2 linked regions of the Oryctolagus cuniculus genome follow. The main gene of each other region encodes a partner of the protein of the gene in region 2 in a complex. Links are inferred from orthologs where the notes say so. Each region holds a gene or a part of one and is shown on either strand. Other genes may lie near its edges.

Evidence for each region. Proteins that work in one complex are often made in the same cells at the same time.
Region 1: the proteins of AAK1 (region 2) and PDLIM5 are in contact, whole or in part, in a crystal structure (PDB 9F6S), measured with the Homo sapiens proteins. The link is inferred for Oryctolagus cuniculus from reciprocal best matches to the Homo sapiens genes AAK1 and PDLIM5. Residues at the interface, in NP_055726.4 of Homo sapiens: Asp956, Leu958, Ile959, Asp960, Leu961; in NP_006448.5 of Homo sapiens: Ala12, Pro13, Trp14, Gly15, Phe16, Arg17, Leu18, Phe24, Gln67, Ile70, Lys71.

What each region holds. Positions count from the first base shown.
Region 1 is NC_091439.1:71,014,132-71,017,804, forward strand, and holds the start of PDLIM5 (PDZ and LIM domain protein 5), read right to left. Parts: upstream 2,847-3,673; 5' UTR 2,693-2,846; exon of another isoform or gene 2,563-2,692; intron 1,986-2,562; exon of another isoform or gene 1,704-1,985; intron 1-1,703. UniProt on the Homo sapiens protein: May play an important role in the heart development by scaffolding PKC to the Z-disk region. May play a role in the regulation of cardiomyocyte expansion. Isoforms lacking the LIM domains may negatively modulate the scaffolding activity of isoform 1.
Region 2 is NC_091433.1:133,152,236-133,155,881, reverse strand, and holds part of AAK1 (AP2-associated protein kinase 1), read right to left. Parts: intron 2,224-3,646; coding exon 1,925-2,223; intron 1-1,924.

The DNA.
Region 1 (3,673 bases), on a different chromosome or scaffold from region 2:
TAAGCTATTCTAACACATGGACAGGGCTGCAAATCAGCAGGCTCCCATTCATGCTTTCCAAACACTAAATCGTTTAAAACAGAAGATGCTTTCCTGTGCACAAAACTCTTTTCTCCAATCATGAACTACAACTCGTATTTCCACTTCCAGGGACATGGTATCTTCTATACTTAAAGTAATATTCACTTCTCCCTCAAATAGGCAATGACAAATGCTTGAGTATGGTGACATTTAGGCAGAAGCGGCTTTTCGTTTCATACACATTTCTCACAGGGAGGGGTGAGCACTCACTGAATACAACTATGACTGAATGCCATAGGACCACAGGGTTAACATTTACACATGAAACTGAACTGAGATTTAAAAAAGAATCAGCACCTCAGTGCTTTCTTTTTTTCCTTTTTTTTTTTTTTTTTGCTTGTGCTCCTAATGACTCTCAAGGTTGTACTTTAAAAAAAAAAAAACGAAGTCTGATTGGGTGTTTTGGTTTTTATAGGGATGGGAGAAATTGGGAGGAATGGAGTTTTTTTTTTTTTTAATGTAATACTAAGAAACATAACAGGTCTCTCCTTTTAAAAGTATTAAAAATATTAACAGGTGTATAATTTTAAAATTATTAAAAGACACTTTAGGAAGCAGCCATTTAAGACACACTTCCTTGGAAAATCTGAGCTGTTCAACCAAATTCACTTTATATTACCTGTCTTGACATATTTTTCCACTTTTTAACACACTGAAAATTACTATCCCTTCACACCAGATTCAGAGTGACAGATGCAGCTATTCAAACTTAAAGCAAACAGATTCCTTCTTCTCAGAAAGGGAAAATTAGACCCAACTTTCAAATAAGCCTGGATCTTAAAGAAAAATTAAATCAGGGAAAAATCTGCACTGTATCTACTTAGGCACTAAATGAGCTTTTCCATGGCGTGGAAGTACATTAAACTAGCAGGCAATAACACATTACTTCAGTACTGAAGTAGCAGACACAGGCACTAAAAAGACCCAAAGCCACGCCAGAAGTTAAACTGTTGCATGTAGGTGAAAAATTAATAGCGGGGAGGTGGTGTTTTCCTGCAATACAAAAGACGATCTTCATTAAAACTAGTAGCGTAGTCGAGAAAATCTTGCTATTGGCACACGTGACAAATCAGAATCATGTAAAGCCAACTGACTTTCGCAGGCTGCCTGCCCTCCTTTTTTTAATCTTTAACTTCTAGCAGGGGAAGTATGTGAACTTTAGGCTCAACTTCCTCTAGCCCATTCTTCCCTACAAGAAAATCTATTTAATTTATATATCAAGCCATCGACATGCAACTTCTCTTAACTTGGGGACTCCCTTCCTGACCTCTCCCACTTGTTGTCAGAATTTATAGGACCTGCAAGGTCACAGTCACAGGACGAGGCCAGAGTCTTTGCACTTGTAGCCAGCGACATCTCCAAGCTGGACTCTCCTGCTAGCGTCACCTGCAATTCATTTGCCTTCAAGACCTTCTGATCCCTAAGCCATGGCAATAGTTGTAGTGGTCTTTTCCGGGTCTCCTCCCTCTAGCTATTAGTGACCAAATCCTTCCTAAATAAGTGAGTCAGCAGGAAACAGCAACCTGCTTTGAAACACAGAAAACGTGGGGATTCCTTTCGGGTGAAGTCTACACACTAACTTCACTTTAGGACTAGGAAACTTGGTATTGCCACATTTGTACCCGAGCTTCTTAGGGTGGAGAACTTGCGATGATCTGCACCAAGTGACAAGTAGAGCCTGAAATTAGGAAGAAATATCTTGAGGTTCCCTCCCCCGGCCCCTGCCCTCCAATAGAGGGATAATGGAGCAGAGCTACAGAAGCCACAGGCGTAGGACGAAAAGTAGCCGACGAGACAGTTTCCAGCCGAGGTTCGCGCCTCGCCCTGTTGGCCAAATAAGGCTCCCGGGCGCGCTGCTTCCGTGGCAGGCGGGTTCAGACGTCCTCGCGGTCAGGGAGGCGGACCTGGGATAGGAGCCGGCGATCACACCCTAGACCTGCCCTGCCCAGCGCAGGCTACGGATTTTCTTTCCAAGTTCTGCCCAGTCCATACGCCCTTCCTTTTTCCACTTATTGTCAAACGCACCGCCTTGCAAAAGCCCCAACAATTAGGCAAGTTGTTTTTTTTTTTTTTTTTAACGAGCTTTATGTCTGGGCGCACAAGTTTTCCCTGAACAGGTTACACAACTGTAAATACTGGGGGTGGGGGGTGGGGATGAAGGATCCTCAGGACCCTGAGCGCACACACACACAAAAATAACTCACGTCTTCCCCCAAGGGGTTGGCGCAGGTCGTGGGGAGACCCGAGGCGGGCCGCCCAGCCACGCCGGCAGCCGGCAGGGGAAGGTCGGCGCGGCGGGGCTCAGGAGCCCCCCGGAGCCCGCCCGCACCACCCCCCAGCCTCCAGGGCGCTCCTCCCGGCCGACCCGAACTGCCAGGGCTAGCCCTACAGCCTCACGCCCACCCCCGCACTGCCTCTTCCCGGGAGCTCCTCTCGCCCTGGCCGCTCTCCCACCTCCGCCGCTCCGCGCCCAGAAAGCACCTGAGGAGCCGCCCCGGCCCGAGGTGCGCCCCTTCCTCCTCCTCAGCGAGCCGGCCCACGAGGAGACCAGCTTCTCCCCTCCTCTCTGCCACAGAGCCGAGACGCGCATCTGCAGCCGCCGGACACTCACCTCGGGTCCGGCGCGGCGCTGCCTCCGCCTCAGACGAGCGCTGACAAGTGACTGGCGGTGCGTGCGCCGTCCCCGCGGCCCGCGAGAACTTCCGCCTCCCGGCGCGGCAGCCCCGCCCCCGGCCCTGGGCACGCCCCTTCGCGCCAGGCCACGCCCCCAGCCGGGCAGCGCGGTGGGGCTCCGAGCCCTGACCCAGAAGGCGAAGGGGGTGCCCGGGGCGCGCGCGTGATGGGGCTGGCTGCAGCCGCTGCGGAAAACAATTGCGCTATCGAGTTTCGGTGGGAGTAGTGTGAGGGGATTTCAAAGGGGACCTGGCAAAGGGCTAACCTTCTGCGTGTCCGTTTTGCAGGAGGGTGCACTTCTCTGCCCAGAAAGTTGTATTGGCCAACAGTTGCTCTGGCTAAAAATAGAAGAGGACTTTGGCTACATCCCTATCTATGCAAGTTCAGCAGCTACCGCCTGGATTCTTCTGAGAGAAGTTGTAGGCTCCGAGAAGAGCAGACCCTGAAAGCTGCTTGTCGGGAAGGTGAAAATCGGTAGCCCTAATCTGCAGCACTGAAATCTAACATCGCGCGACAATGCTGCAACCACTTCATCTTGAACTTGTTTTTCTATATCCAGATCCATAACCTGCTTTCCTCCTTCTGAAAGTTTCCTCGATTTTGACGAGGAATTTATTCCTAGGCAAATGCGGATAATGAACTTGGAATACCCGGAAAGTAACTTGTAGATTCTTTTGCACTGCGAATTGCCTTGTAAATGTGAAAAGAACAATTCTTTCTTTCTTCCTTTCCCCTCCTTCCCTCCGTCCTCTCCCTCCCTCCCACCTTCCCTTCCTCCCCCCCTCCTTCTTTTTCCTAACAGAGAGATCTCCCATCCACTGGTTCACTTCCCAGATGCCCACAATAGCCAGGGCTGGGCCCAGAACTCCGACCTGAGCCATCGCACAGCATTTTCCAGGATAAGGGAACGGGAGAAAGG
Region 2 (3,646 bases):
TCCTAGGTAGCAAGGACACCATTAGAGGTCACTGGAGCCACATCCAAAGGACCCATAGCCATTCTGAAGAGACTTCCACCGGTCAACATTGGGACAACAATGTTGACCAACACAAGTAAGTTTTTTAAAACTTCAATGTATTAATAGATAACAAATATGTTAAAATCCATAAATTCATAAATATACTAAACAAAAGAAGACAAAAAGCTTATTGCTCATCTTTGGATAATACTGGGAAACAATGAATTATTCTGAAGACTGGGAAACAAAGGAAAACACTCAAGTATTTTTCCTGTCTTTTCTGTTCAAACAGCTTCCTCACAGGGTAACTAAATAGTTGATGCGAAAATTCCCCATAGAAAAATCCTAGCCCCTAAACAAAGAAGAAGTCCTGCAATATTATTTTGCCATTCCTAATGAATTAAGAGACTTAAGAAATGACCACCAATGGCTTCTAAGATAATGGGGAACATTAAACAAATGGATCAAACACATGGATTGATCTTTTTAAGAGAGGCAATCAGATATTACAGTCCTCCTGATACGATGCCACAGGAAGAGGAAGAGCAAAGAAATATCAAACAGAATAAAATATTGTGCAAGTCTCAAGAAATGACCAGTTTACACAGAGAAGGGAGGAACAGATCAAATGATACCACAGAGATACAATTAGCCAAATCTAGAATGTGGAAAATCCTACAGGACAAATAATCCAGTGTCTAAAAAAATAATTTGTAAAGAGAAAAAAAAGAGGGAGAGAAATCCTATGTATGAAAGAGGACTTAAAAGCTACAGCAATTGCCGGCGCCGTGGCTCAACAGGCTAATCCTCTGCCTTGCGGCGCCGGCACACTGGATTCTAGTCCCGGTCGGGGCGCCGGATTCTGTCCCAGTTGCCCCTCTTCCAGGCCAGCTCTCTGCTGTGGCCAGGGAGTGCAGTGGAGGATGGCCCAAGTCCTTGGGCCCTGCACCCTCATGGGAGACCAGGAGAAGCACCTGGCTCCTGCCATGGGATCAGTGCGGTGCGCCGGCCGCGGCAGCCACTGGAGGGTGAACCAACAGCAAAAGGAAGACCTTTCTCTCTCTCTCTCACTGTCCACTCTGCCTGTCCAAAAAAAAAAAAAAAAAAAAAAAAAAAAAAAAAGCTACAGCAATCATTACACAATGAATTTGTCCACTGTGAAAAACTAGAAAAAATAGTGGAAAACAAAACAATATAAATCAACTAAAATTAATACCTGGACTTTGGATCCTGATTCAAACAAACCAACTTAATTTACGAGACATAAGAAATAGTTAAACACTGTGGCTTAGCAGGTAAAGCCTCTGCCTGCAGTGATGACATCCTATATGGGCACTGGTTTGAATCCCAGCTGCTCCACTTCTGAACCAGCTCCTTGCTAATGTGCATGGGAAAGCAGCACCCACATGGGAGACCCGGAAGAAGCTCCTGGCTCCAGATCGGCCCAGCCCCAGCCATTGTGGCCATTTGGGGAGTGAACTAGCAGATGAAAGGTCTATCTCTCACTCTCTCTCTGTAACTCTGCCTTTCAAATAAAATAAATAAATCTTAAAAAAAAAAAAAAAGAAATAAAACACCACTGGATGTTTGACAACAGTAAGAAATTATTATTATTTATTCCCCCAATATAGTATAGTAATGGTGGTATAGTTAGGTTAGGAAAAAAACAAACAAGGAAACAGAGAATCTTTAGAAAATAGCTCCTTCAGCAAGATTCCTCAATCAGCTGATAGATTGCTAATGGCCTGAGAAGGGTGGTGAAAGGGTGGGAATGAGTGATGAAGAAACAATGGTAGAACGGTTAACAGCTCTCTGTCTCCCCAAGGGAGACCCTTGTACCTAGCGGGCCTGTTCACCGTCACGACTCAGCTCTGCACAGCAAGGCTCACGCTGGCCACCTCACCTGCTGAGTCTGGGCCTGCTGCTGTTGCTGCTGCTGGTAGAATGTGCCCGCTGGCTGTTGTGGCGCTGGCTGCTGCGCTGGCTGCTGCGCTGGCTGCTGCTTGAGGAAGAGCTGCTGCTGGTGCTGAGGAGTAGCCTGGGCCTGAGTGGGCAGACCCTGGGCCTGAGTGGAAGGCGTCTGCTGTGGGGTAGGCGGAGCCTGTGGCTGTTTGGGCTGAGGCTGTGGCAGAGGCTGGCTAGGTTGGGGTTGGGCTTTTGGTTGGGGAACACTGGCCAAAAGGCCAGGCTGATTGCTGGATCCTGCAGAGAGAATAAACTCCATGTAAGGGCTTAAAACTTTTCCAGATCCAAACAGCTTTCTCTCTTGCCAACACAATAAAGAAGAGGTTAAGTGGGCAAATATCCCAAAATCCACGGGAGCTCCTCACTGCTTTTCCACGTGCTTTGTCCCACCTGGGATGTCTTTCCACCCTCTTGATAAACTCTTTTCCTCAAAACAAGGTTCAGTAACAAGGCTCAAAATGAGTACACCTCCATCAGTAAGTCCTCTGTTATCCATCATCCCATTGAGTCAATTGCTCAGCACGCTGAGTATCTGTCTGCATCAGAGGTGGGGAACCCTTTTCCTGCCAAGGGTCATTTGAATATTTATAACATCATTTGCAGATCATATAAAATTATCAACTTAAAAATTAGTCTGCCATACATTTATTGAATTTCAAGTCTCGCCTGTGGTGGCCTTGGCAGGGCCAGACCACACGATTTCATGGCCTTTATATGGCCTATGTGCTGGACATTCCCCACTCTGATACATTTTCTTTCTTTCTTTTTTTTTTTTTTTTTATTAGTTCTTCTGATACATTTTCTACTGGCCTCTGATGCTACTGCACATAGACACAATCTTGGCACCCACAGGCATGAGATTCTCGGATGCTTTAAGTGTTGCTTACACAACCCCAGTCTGGATGCCTGACTATAAAAGTAGATGGCCACCAAATTCACCTTTTTTTTCTTAGAAAACTTTTATTTAATAAATATAAATTTTGAAAGTACAACCTTTGGATTATAGTGGCTTTTCCCCCCATAACCACCCTCCCACCCACAAACCATCCCATCTCCTACTCCCTCTCCCATCCTATTCTTCATTAAGATTCATTTTTAATTATCTTTATATACAGAAGATCAACTTAGTATATACTAAGTAAAGATTTCAACAGTTTGTACCCGCACAGAAACACAAAGTATAAAGTACTGTTTAAAGACTAGTTTTACCATTAATTCTCGTAGTACAACACATTAAGGACAGAGATGCTACATGGGGAGTAAGCACACAGTGACTCCTGTTGTTGGTTTAACAACTGACACTCTTATTTATGACGTCAGTAATCACCCGAGGCTTTTGTCACGAGCTGCCAAGGCCATGGAAGCCTCTTGAGTTCATAAACTCCGTCCTTATTTAGACGAGGCCATAATCAGAGTGGAAGTTCTCTCCTCCCTTCAGAGAAAGGTACCTTCTTCTTTGATGGCCCGTTCTTTCCACTGGGATCTCACTCACAGAGATCTTTCATTTAGTTCAATTTTTGCCACAGTGTCTTGGCTTTCCTGCCTGAGAAACTCTCATGGGCTTTTTAGCCAGATACGGATGCCTTAAGGGCTGATCCTGAGGCCAGAGTAAATTCGCCTATTTTTATAGCTTCCTGATGGAGATTGTGAATTAATCCTC